Linked DNA regions of Cricetulus griseus. The protein of the gene in region 1 purifies or fractionates together with the protein of each later gene. This does not show direct contact. Links are inferred from orthologs where the notes say so. Each region holds a gene or a part of one and is shown in the gene's direction. Other genes may lie near its edges. The genes, in order: Strip2, Ppp2cb and Sike1.

What was found.
Region 2: the proteins of Strip2 (region 1) and Ppp2cb purify together in Homo sapiens (affinity purification with mass spectrometry; 3 studies listed by BioGRID and IntAct, counting the BioPlex papers as one, with this or other methods). This does not show direct contact. The link is inferred for Cricetulus griseus from reciprocal best matches to the Homo sapiens genes STRIP2 and PPP2CB.
Region 3: the proteins of Strip2 (region 1) and Sike1 purify together in Homo sapiens (affinity purification with mass spectrometry; 3 studies listed by BioGRID and IntAct, with this or other methods). This does not show direct contact. The link is inferred for Cricetulus griseus from reciprocal best matches to the Homo sapiens genes STRIP2 and SIKE1.

The regions. Positions count from the first base shown.
Region 1 is NW_023276806.1:197,901,966-197,906,258, reverse strand, and holds the start of Strip2 (striatin-interacting protein 2), read left to right. Parts: upstream 1-1,465; 5' UTR 1,466-1,532; coding exon 1,533-1,673; intron 1,674-4,293. UniProt on the Homo sapiens protein: Plays a role in the regulation of cell morphology and cytoskeletal organization. Required in the control of cell shape. Calmodulin-binding scaffolding protein which is the center of the striatin-interacting phosphatase and kinase (STRIPAK) complexes.
Region 2 is NW_023276807.1:51,171,575-51,174,758, reverse strand, and holds the end of Ppp2cb (serine/threonine-protein phosphatase 2A catalytic subunit beta isoform), read left to right. Parts: intron 1-165; coding exon 166-284; intron 285-1,959; coding exon 1,960-2,032; 3' UTR 2,033-2,543; downstream 2,544-3,184.
Region 3 is NW_023276806.1:53,975,803-53,980,213, reverse strand, and holds the start of Sike1 (suppressor of IKBKE 1), read left to right. Parts: upstream 1-1,603; 5' UTR 1,604-1,904; coding exon 1,905-2,063; intron 2,064-2,251; coding exon 2,252-2,357; intron 2,358-3,344; coding exon 3,345-3,487; intron 3,488-4,411.

The DNA.
Region 1 (4,293 bases):
TTCCTCCATGGCTTTTTCTGCCCTGGCTTCCCTCAGTAATGCGCTCTAAGCTGTCAGATGGAATAAATCCTCTCCTACCCAAGTTGCTTTTGGTCCTGGCGTTTTATCACTGCAGTTGAGACGCCAAGACTGTAGTAAGTCAAGAAAACGGGTTTCTCCCATAGAGCAGCAGCATAGGGAATCCCATGGCGCTTTATTAGTAAAAACCGGATTCGTAACCGGGCGTTGGTGGCGCACTCCTTTAATCCCAGCACTCGGGAGGCAGAGGCAGGTGGATCTCTGTGAGTTCGAGGCCAGCCTGGTCTCCAGAGCAAGTACCAGGACAGCCTCCAAAGCAATACAGAGAAACCCTGTCTCGAAAAACCAACAAAACAAAACAAAACAAAAAACCGGATTCGTGTAAATAACCTGTCAGGAAGAGGTGTGGTACTTGAAAAACACCTAGTGCGGTGCTTGCCACAGCCCCCTACTCAATGAAGTCTTCACCGCCCAAATAGGTCAGGAGAGCGATTTGGTCCCTCCCCTTCCCCTCAGTCGTAATCAAGCCGGATCTGTCAGTCTATTTCAGGAGAGGGCAGAACCCACAGCCTTCAACTGCCTGATTACCTTGAGCTCGTAGTTGTCTGGGTATTTTTTTTCCCCCTTCTTAATTTCAATATTTATTGTTTGTATGTGTGGGAATGCTGGAGGAGACCGCGGAGTACTCGTGGAGGTCAGAGAACAGTTTTCAACAGTCCCTTTTCTCCTTTCCACCACGTGGGGACCCGGGGATCGAACTCAAGACCTTAGGGGGCTTAGATGAGAAGCAAGTGTCTTTCGGCACCGAGCCCTGTCGCCCGCCAGGGGATCGCTTTAGAGAGGAGAAGGAAAGAGCAGCGGGTGAGGCAGGGGGTTTGCTGTCTCTCCGCACCACGACAAAAGGTGCCCGCCCAGCGGGGACAGACGACCGGGAGTCAGGGATTCCAGCGACGACGCCCCTCCCCGTTCTCCCGTTCTCCCCGCCGAGAGAGACGGAGGCTAAGGTTGTGGCGTGGTGGCTCGGGCTGTCCCTTCTCTGCGGGGACCAAGCGGGACGGGAGAGGCGTGCGGCGGCTGGGATTCGGGGCCCGGGTCGGGGGTAGCGCGGACACGGAGACCGCAGTGGAACCGCCGGGGCGGAGACCAGGGCTCGCAGGGACAGGACAGCCTGAGAGGAGACTGCAGCGCGGAGCTCGGGGACCAGCAGGGCTCGAGAGGTGGAGCGAGAAGCCACCCACCCGCCCACCGGGCCCGGGCTGCCAGCCGCGGTGCAGTGGGGAGAAAGCCGGGGGTGCGACGGGGACTATTCCTTGAAAGAGTCCCCACCTCCGACTGGCCGATCAGCCAATCGCAGCACAGGAGGGCGTGGCCGCAGAGTAGCCACGGCCAATAGAGGCCGAGGGGCGGGGCCTGGCTCCGGGCGCGCGCTGTGGCGGGGTCGCCCCGGGCAGAGATCGCCAAGCCGCGGTAGGGAGCCGCTGGAGCGAGCCGCGGAAGGGAGCAGCCAGCCCGGCATGGACGACCCCGCGGCGCCCGGGCCCGCCGGCCCGCCCGCTAACGGCAACGGCAACGGCAACGGCAACGGCAACGGCAAAGGGAAGCCGGGTGCGCCCAAGGGCCGGGAAGCATTCCGCAGCCAGCGGCGGGAGTCGGAGGTGAGGAACCCGGAGGCGGCTGAGGTGACGCGGCCCGCAGCCCCGTCCCTCTCCGCGGCGGGTCGCCTTGCTGCCTGCCGTTTCCCTAAGCCGCGCGCGCGCGGAGACCGTAACAGATACTTTCCGGATACTTGATAGCTGTCGCCGGGTGAAGCCCGAATTCGGACCCGTTTGCCCATGGGGAACCAGCGCGCAGAGCTGCTGGGACTGGCCGCAGGGGTGGCAGCCCCAGCTTGGCGGCGGGAGGGGAGGGTGGGCAGGCGAGCAGCGCACCTCACCTCCCACTCCAGACTGCAGCCACTGGCTCCGGAGTGCACCAGACCGGCCTGAAGCACATGCTTTCCCTTGCCATCCGCTGCCCCCGGGGCGATGGAGATGGCTTAGGGAGCGCCTTCCACCCACACCTCGCCCCTGCCGGGGGTGTTGGGGGAGGAGGTAAAAGAGACGTGATTCTAGCTGGGATAGGACCAGAGCGTGCGAGCGGCATTTGGGTGCAGCTGCCCCAGGGGCAGCTAAGGGGGTTGACTATTTGGGTATTTTCCTCCTCTAAATTAAAATAAAAAATCTAACTAGGACAATGAAAGGACTGAATTATTATCACCCCCAACACACACACACACACACACACACACACACACACACACACACACACACACACACACACACGCATACACACACACACCCTTATCCAGCCAGTTTCCATCTATTAGCCAAGAGCAAAACTGCATCTGAGCAGGAACTGGGAACTCGGGGGACAAAATGTATGTGGAAGGGGCTGTGGAGGTCATCTGGTTTAGTCCTTATTTTATTTGATTTCATCTTAGTTATTTGAGACAGCTCAGGGCAAAAGCCACTGACAACAGGGTTTCATTTGCCCCACTGGGCTTGAACTCACTGTGTAGCTGAGGAGAGCCTTGAACTCTTTTTCTGATCGCCCTGCTTCCATTTCCCAAGTGCTGGGATGACAGTGTGTGCCACCAAAGTGAGCCTAACCCTTTCATTTTACTACGCAAAGCACACAGGGCTGGGGGATGCAGCTCAGTGACGGTGTGCTTGCCTTGCATGCTCAAAGTGCTAAATTTGATCCCCAGCATCCTAAACAGATGGGGGGCGGGGGTGTCATCTAGAGGGTAAAAAGAGATAAAAACCAACGTTCTTGAGATCAGACACGTGGCAGAGTAAGTGGCCAAGACCACCAAGTTCAGTATCAGGCCCTTTTTTTTTTTTTGCACTACCATTTATCATCTGTGTGGCTTTGGGCAAATTACCTAACCTATCTGAGCTCCAGTTTCTTCTCCTGTAAAATGGGATTGACACTATAAATAATTGACCTTAAAGTGTTTAGCCCAGTTCATGTAATTAATTGGTCAGGACTTATAACTTATCATTCTCATTAAGTGGCGGCGGGGGGTTGGGGGGGGGTTCCTCCAAATTAAGTTCCTGGTGGTTTGTTTGAATAATACATCATAGTTTCCAAAATCATTTACTTGTCTGTTTGATTATTTGTTGTTCAGAGATGGAGCCCAAGGGCTCACAAAACCAAGCAAGTTTACTACCGATGACCTTTCGCCCTCCCCCAGCTCCTATTTTATAAAAGGTAAAAAATAAGGGGGAAAATTGCCCCCAAAGTCACAAACCTGCACAGTCAAGGTTTCCTTGCTACAAGTTTTCTTTTAGGAATACCTTGTACCTCCTTCCGGAAGAGAGACTTTGTTTGTTTGTTTGCTTGCTTGCTTCAGTGGAAGAAAAGGTTTATTTTGGCTCATGGTTTCAGAGGTGGGGAGGGCATGGTGGAGGAGAGCTGTTCCCATCTTGGCTGCACAAAGCAGAGGAAGTGAGGCATTGTTCTTGATGGAATATTTTCTAGGCATAACAATGAAATTATTAGGTGCTAATGTCAGTGAATAGGGCAGAGTCTTTGCACTTCTACAGCTAGCATTCTAGGAAGGGTGGGGAGACAGACAATATGCAAATAAGTGGCTGCAGAGGGCTATGTTGAACCTTCTGAAGTAGGTAATGATCCTCAGCTGTCACAGCGTCCTTCAGGAAAAGGCTGTCATAGTACTTCGCTTTTGCCAGCGAGTTCAATGTGGATACCCAGAGTTTTCCAGGCACTGCTGTTTACCTGCTGAATTTCTGCAGCTGCATTCGTCACACTTAGAAATGAACAGCTGTGGTAATCGTCTCTGTCTGGGCTCATTGCCCCCAAAAAGCCTTGCTGGGAAAATTAGCTCCCCCACCCCACCCCACCTTCCAATGAGAAGGACATGCTTGTCTGTATGTCCCCTATCTTTGCAGTGCTCAGACCTGCTTTTCCCTCCCTTGGCTTTCCAGTAGAGGGCAGTCCTTAGAGAAGACAGTTTTCTAGGGCTTCTGAAAAAAATTGCTGGAAGAGAATTACAATTGGCACAAATCAAGAGTGCTATATGCTAAGGGCCCTTTTCATACTTAACTCATTAGGCCTTACGATAACCCTCTGAAGAAAGTCTTATTATTGTCTTCATCTTACGGATGAGAAAACTGAGCATTTTCCAACAATAATTACTGATGCCAACTAAATGTCCTACATGTGAATTCAATTCTGACACTAATTACCCAGGATTAGTGCATATACAATATT
Region 2 (3,184 bases), on another chromosome or scaffold:
CTATAGACTCTTGTACCTAATAATTGTCCAGTATTCTGAGCAGGTACAGAAACTGTTGATCACAGGAGATAACATGATTCCGTAGCCACAGAAGTACTTAGGATTTGAGTTCTGTGTCAAGATTGAATTTAATGATGAAACAATGACCTTTTCTTACTGTTGCAGGGATATAATTGGTGCCATGATCGGAATGTGGTTACCATTTTTAGTGCACCCAATTACTGCTACCGCTGTGGGAACCAGGCTGCTATCATGGAATTAGATGACACTTTAAAATATTCTTTGTAAGTAACTGTACATTTTAATTTATGTAATCACTTTAGAGGGAAAAGGTAACTGGTAAAAAACAGTTAGGGGCTGGAAAGATGGCTCAGCAGCTCTGAGCCCTTACTACAGTCATGAGAACTGAAGTTCAGATCCCACAAAGACCTGTAACTCCAGCTCCAAGGGATCCAACACCCTCTTCTGGCCTCTAAAGATACATGTACATGTGTGCACAGAGTCATATACACACGTGCACGCATGAATAAAATTAATCTTCTTGGAATGAAAACCGTGAAAGAGTTCTGTTCATCGTAAAAATTGTTTTCTTTTGATATGCTGGGCATGCAACCATGGCCTCATTCATACATGCCAGTTCATTGCTATGCCACTGAGCTATACAGCCCAGAAAAGGGTTTTAATTATTTACAGTTCATTGAAATTTTCCCAAGAGCTTATAGGTAATGGAAAAACATTTAACCTTAAGAGAACCATAAGCCAGGTGCAGTAGTACACATACTTAATCCCAGCACTCAGGAGGCAGAGGTTGAGACCAGTCTGGTCTAAGCAGTGAGTTCCAGGACAGCCAGGGAGTACATACAGATACCTTGTCTCAGAAAAACAAACTAACAAGACAGAGAAACCTGTCCATTATAACTACTAGAGGCTTGCATCCCTTACTCACACATTATTCTAACAAAAACAACTATAGTGGAGCTGGAGAGATTGTTCAGTGGTTAAGAACACTAGCTGAGTTCAATTCCCAGCAACCACATGGTGGCTCACAGCCATCTGTAATGAGATCTGGTGCCCTCTTCTGGTATGCAGACAGAACACAGTATACATAATAAATAAATCTTTTTGGGGGGAAGAAAAAAAGAGACTACTTAGGGTACAGGAGTGATGCAAGTTAAATTCCCAGCACCTACATGGCTGTTCACAACCATCTGTAATTCCAAGGGTTCCATCTTCTGACATCTATTTAGTTAGTTAGTTAGTTATTTAGTTAGTTATTGGTTTTTCGAGACAGGGTTTCTCTGTGGCTTTGGAGGCTGCCCTGGAATTAGCTCTTGTAGACCAGGCTGGTCTCGAACTCACAGAGATCCGCCTGCCTCTGCCTCCCAAGTGCTGGGATTAAAGGGGTGCGCCACCACCGCCTGGCTCTTCTGACATCTTTGATCACTGGCAATCATAGCACAAAATTTTAGAAGAAGCTTAAAGTAATAAAACATGTACTACTGGGGGATGTGGCTCCACTGGCCCCTGCTTACCTAGCATACCCCACAAAATGAACCCCCCCCCAAAAAAAAAAAAGAAACAGATAACAGACAAAAAAGGCACTTGATAAAATTCAGTGTGCTTTAAATAAAATCAGTAAGCTACACAGAAGGAAACTTGCTGTGCCTGTAGACAAATACTCACCCTGATTTAGCCAGGTGGTGGTGAGAGACAGCACTGACCCAAAGGCCCTTAAATTGATAATAGTGTCACAAGTATTTTCTGCCAGGCACTAACAACCATGTTACCTAACTTTTCACCATAACTCTGTGAAGTAATATAATTTATCACAGGTAGTGACATGCTCAGAGTTATTCCAGCCACATGGAATGTAGTAGCAGAAGAATACAGAAAGGATGGCTTTGTCTAGTGAGTGTCTTAGTGGCTTAGCTGCTGATTCAATTTCTTTGTCATTTATAGTCTTCAGTTTGACCCAGCACCTCGTCGTGGAGAGCCTCATGTGACCCGGCGTACCCCAGACTACTTCCTGTAAATTCTTCCCCAGGACCTTTCTTTGTATGTGGAAGTATACCTGGCTTTTTAATATATATATATATATATATGTGTGTGTTATATATATATATATATTTAAAAACAAGTCATCTGTGTGTTTCTGTAACAAATTGTGATATGTCTTGACATTAAACTACATCATGGACCAAACGTGCCATACTAATGATGAGCGTTTAGCACAATTTGAGACTGAACTTACTACACTGTGTTCTAGATCAGTCTGCCTGCTGTGTTGTAGGAACCATTCTTCTTGGCTGGTTAAGCAAAAAGGGGTCACTGACTGCTTCATCTCCTTTGCACTTGGAAATTTAGTTACAGTGTTTAACTGGCATGGATTAATAGAGTCGGAGTTTTATTTTTAAGATTTCACAACCTGACTTCCACTTAATTCATTACCCTGTATTTTATTGAAATGTGTAACTAACTGAAGAAGAGATTCTTGGGAGTATGTTGTCATAACATTAAAGAGATTTCCTTTCATTTAAACTAAATTACTGTTTGATGTTGATCTGCATTATTTCTGTATATTTGTCATGACAGTGCTTGCATCCTATTTGGTGTACTGAACAAATAAACTTTCCAATTTAAACAAAAATATTTTAGCTGTGATATGCATTAAGTGGAAGCATCACCATTTTAAAACTTGATACAAATACTTAAGACTGTGGTTATTTGTTTTCCATTTACTTTGGATTTTAAGATGGTCATGTATAGTCCCAAATGACCTTAAACTCCTGGGTTCCCCTGGCTCTACCTCCCAAGTGCTAGGATTACAGGTGTAGGACACCTTGCTGAACCACAATTATCTGATGTGTAATAAAAATAAGCAGCTGTACTGACAGGATTTACATGGTAAGCTTAGGGGCTGGGGATTAACTCTGGTAAGGTGCTCATTTATATTCATTTCCAAGTTACATGCACACATGCAAGTGCACACACACACAAGTAATGCTTGTTTATAGTTTACATTTAGAAGCAGAACAAAGTCAAGTATTTGCTGATAACTTTAGGCCATTAAAAAATCCATTTTCACATTCCTAAACATTTCATTGGGTGGTCTGTATTAACTTATTCTTTTGGGTAGGAGTGGGGAGGGTTGAGACAGCGTTTGTCTATAGCCTTGGCTGTCCTG
Region 3 (4,411 bases), about 140 Mb from region 1:
GGTCCAGGAGTGGAATTCAACTACACTGCCACTGATGAGCCACATGGGAATAGCAAATTGAAATCATAACCCTGTCAGTATGCCCCACATATACAAAACTACTCACAATTTTTAAGCTTTATTTATTTATTTATTTAAAGAAAGAGAGAGAGAAGGAGGGATAGAGTTAGTTCAAGTGTCTGGTGGAGGTCAGAGGAAAACCAGTGGGCATGGTTCTCTTCTACCAACTTGTAGAATCCAGGAGTCAAAACTCAGGTTGTCGGGCTGTGTGCAAGAACCTCTAACTGCTGAGCAATCTCACTTATTATTTATTAATTAATCTTAACATTTATTTATTTATAGGGGTTTAGGCACAGAGGTCAACTTATGAGTGCATCCTGGGGATAGAATTCAGGCAAGCACCTTCACCCACTGAGCCTTCTTGCAGGCCCCAAAAGGTTTTATAAAGAAAAAAGTATCGGGGTAGTGGTGGCACATGCCTTTAATCACAGCACTAGGAAAGCAGAGGCAGGCCTGGTCTACAGAACTAGTGCCAGGACAGTTAGGGCTACACAGAGAAAACCTGTCTCAAAAAACAAAAAGAAGAAAGAAAAGGAAGGAAGGAAGGAAGGAAGGAAGAAGGGAGGGAGAGAGAGAGGGAGGGAGGAAGGGAGGGAGGGAGGGAGGGAGGGAGGGGGAGGGAGGGAGGGAGGGAGAAGTGAAGCAAATAAACTTACCTAATTCATTTTTCCAATTTATTAAAAATTGAATTTGTAGCCGGGCGATGGTGGTGCACGCCCTTAATCCCAGCAAGTTCCTGGAACTTGCTCTATAGACCAGGCTGGCCTCGAACTCACAGAAATATGCCTGCCTCTGCATCCCGAATGCTGGGATTAAACATGTGCACCACTACCACCTGCCTGTTTATATTGCATACTGAACTAAAATTTAGTGTATCACTGGCTGTTTTCCCCACTTACTCCCACAAGTCCCCTGCCCTCTACTCTCTATGGCATCCCAAGACAATAAACCGGTAAAAGGCGATCTGGAATCCATACTGTTTTTCTTTTCTATCCATTAGCGAGTCACAGTTCTTGGGTGTGTTCTATTAGATAAGGGAACTGCCATCTCACTTGTGTGTCATTATATTTCTTGGGTGCCACATCCCTAAGTCCACTGCCACACTGGTAAGTGTAGCCTTCAGTAGTTTTGCATACAGTCCCAGTCCTCATAATCTAATCTTAAAGCATTGACAGCATCCCAAAACATAGCTTCGATTTGAGACCTGAAATACTAATGTGTGTGTGTGTGTGTGTGTGTGTGTGTGTGTGTGTGTGTGTGCGCGCGCGCGCGCGCGCGCGCACGCTATTTGTATACACAGGTGCAGTTGAGTATGTGGAGGTCAGAGGACAACCTCAGTCACTGTTCACCTTTTAAAGGAATGGGAAGGGAGGGAGGGAGGAAGACAGGAGAGAGGGGAGGGGAGTAAGAAGGGAAGAAGGGGTGGGAAGGAAGAGGAAGGACAAAGAGGAAGGAAGAGAGGAGGGAGAAAGTGAGAGGTTCCAGTGTGTGTTCACTTGTGTGGGGGGGGGGGGAGGTGTTTGTTTCATCGATTTGTTGAAAACCCATGACTAAATAACAAACCACATCCATCAAAACCAGAAGAAAAGGAGAACTGAGACAGGAACAGCTGTAACATCGTGAAGAACCAGAATTTGGGACCAAGTCGACCTCTGCGGCTCCACCCAAGAAAATCTGCGGCGAAGCCTGAGTTACCGCGAATCCGCCACTGCGCAGACGCCGACCAGGCTGCCCAGGCGCCTTTAAAGTGTGCCCGGAAGTGACGCGATCGCGCTGATCTCAAACTGGGGAAGGGCTGAGCGAATCGCTGAGGCTAGCGGGCCGGGCGGGCGTCCTCGGCCACTATGAGCTGCACGATCGAGAAGATCCTGACCGACGCCAAGACGCTGCTGGAGCGGCTGCGCGAGCACGATGCGGCGGCCGAGTCGTTGGTGGACCAGTCGGCCGCGCTGCACCGGCGGGTGGCGGCGATGCGGGAGGCGGGCGCCGTGCTGCCCGAGCAGGTCGGGCCGGGTCGGGCCGCGCCCTGGGCGGTGGGCGCTGCGGGGAGAGGGCAGGTGGGGTCACCGTCTAATTATCCTGGTGCGGAGGACAGGGAGGGCTTGAGAGCTTCCTGTGGAATGGGTGGGACTGCTGCCGCCTCTGCAGCACCTGCTGTGTTTGCAGCGGCTTAATCAGTCTCTCTGTCCAGTATCAAGAGGATGCACCCGACGTGAAGGACATGTCTAAATATAAACCTCACATTCTGCTGTCTCAAGAGAATACCCAGATTAGAGACTTGCAGCAGGAAAACAGAGGTTAGTCGGGCTGTGTGTGTGTATGTCTAGTAATACTTTGAACGTTCTTACACAAGTGCCTGAATAAGTTCATAAGCTTACACATCTCATAACTAGGGTCAGTGCTTAAGGTCAGTGCTTAAGAGGGTCATCTGGTAACAATAAAGTCTATTAGGTTGCTCTTTTTTAAGTCTTTGAAAGATGAGTTTGAAAGAGTTGTTTAGTAGAGTTGAGTTGTTTGGTGGTTGGGGTGGGCACATACCAGATGGAGGCTTATATAACTAAAATTCAGAGTCTCAAAATGTAATTTCTGATATATGTTAGAGTGAACACTAAAGTTAATATCGAAGTAGGTTTTTTTTTTTTATTTATCTATTTTTTTTTTAATGTTCCTGGGCAAGATGGAAGGCTGAACTTTGTCTCCAGAATATACATTCTTCGGGTTGGTAATGACAACAGTATGGCAGTTGTCTTGCAGAGACCTTTTTACACCTTCCGTTCCATCCCCTGTTGTCATTTTGAAGTCCACAACCCAAGTGTTTACACAATGCAATTAAGAAACAGGTTCACATGAGCCAGCAAGATGGCCTAGCAGGTAATGGCACCAGCCTGAAGAGCCAAGCCTAAGGACCAGAATTCCATTGGAAGGAGAGAAATGACTCCTGACCACACATGTACACTGTGGTATTTGCACACAAATCAACAAAATGTGATAATATTTTTTTTAAATGGGCTCATTTTGCTTCTGAGTCTTAATTAAGCAAGTAAATGAGAAAACTGAATTCAAATCTGTGTCTTATGATTACATATCCCATTTCCTTCTACAAAAGTCCACTGCCTAGAAAATTGTTTTTCAGATAGACTTTACTCACTTCTGTGGGCTGGAATACCAATTTCCAAGTTTGGATTCACAATATCCCATGGAGTATCAGAAAGCCCCAGCTGTTAGGAGGTTTGCCTTGAGACCTGTTACAGACATCATTGCCCAGATGTTTGCTTTTTTGTTAGAGCTGTGGGTTTCCTTGGAGGAACACCAGGATGCTTTGGAACTCATCATGAGCAAGTACCGGAAACAGATGTTACAGTTAATGATTGCTAAAAAAGCAGTGGATACCGAACCAGTTCTGAAAGCTCACCAGTCCCACTCTGCAGTAAGGAAACCCTGATACATAAATTATAAATAAACCAAACTGAAATCCTGAGTTGTTGTTTTGTTTGCAGAAAAGCATGTTCCTCTTTCATGGTTTTCATAGTCACTCTATCTGACTGAAGCTTTGTGAAGATATGAATAAAGGAAGGGGACGGGGGCTTCTCACATCCTTTTGGATGGTGTCACCTCTCTCACCAACATCTATTTTTCAACCTGAGATAGGACAGTTTAGAGTTGTAGGCCAACCTGGACTACATAGCAAGCTAGATAGCAAGCAAGATGGCAGCTAGCGTTGAAGGCATTCCGTGAATACTTTGCTGATTACTTGTATGTTCTACTAAACCATGAGTTTTGTAGTGTTGAGGGCATTAGTTCAGTTTTATCCATATCTTCCACATAGCAAGTAGTCACTAATTTCATTAAATTATTCACATTATGTTACCGGGGAGTCTTGTTCATTTTGTGGCAGTTCCTCTATTTTAGTTTTAGTTGCTTACTATTTAATTTGGAAAAAACTAACTAGTTTTTAGTTTCTACAGTGCTTACTTATTATATATTTGCATGTATTGTGTATTTTAATTTTTAGTTCTTAAATTGGAAGCTACTATTTACTACAGTGAAAGATACAATTTACATTTCATCTCCCATTCCATTAGGTGGATTTTACTGACTTACAAGTTTTAGGGAACTGGGATGTCTTTAAATATCTAAATATTTGAGTTATTGTCTGTTTTGTTACTTGGGGATGGGGACGCTAGGTCCCATTTAGTCCAGGCTGGCTTGGACTAATCCTTAACTCCTAATCCTTTCTCCTCAGCCTCCCAAGGACGAGGATTATGGGTATGTGCCACCACACCTGGCACCTGGGTGTCAAATGGTCTTTAGAAAAATGGAAATTATTTGACGTACCACAGATTTAAATTAT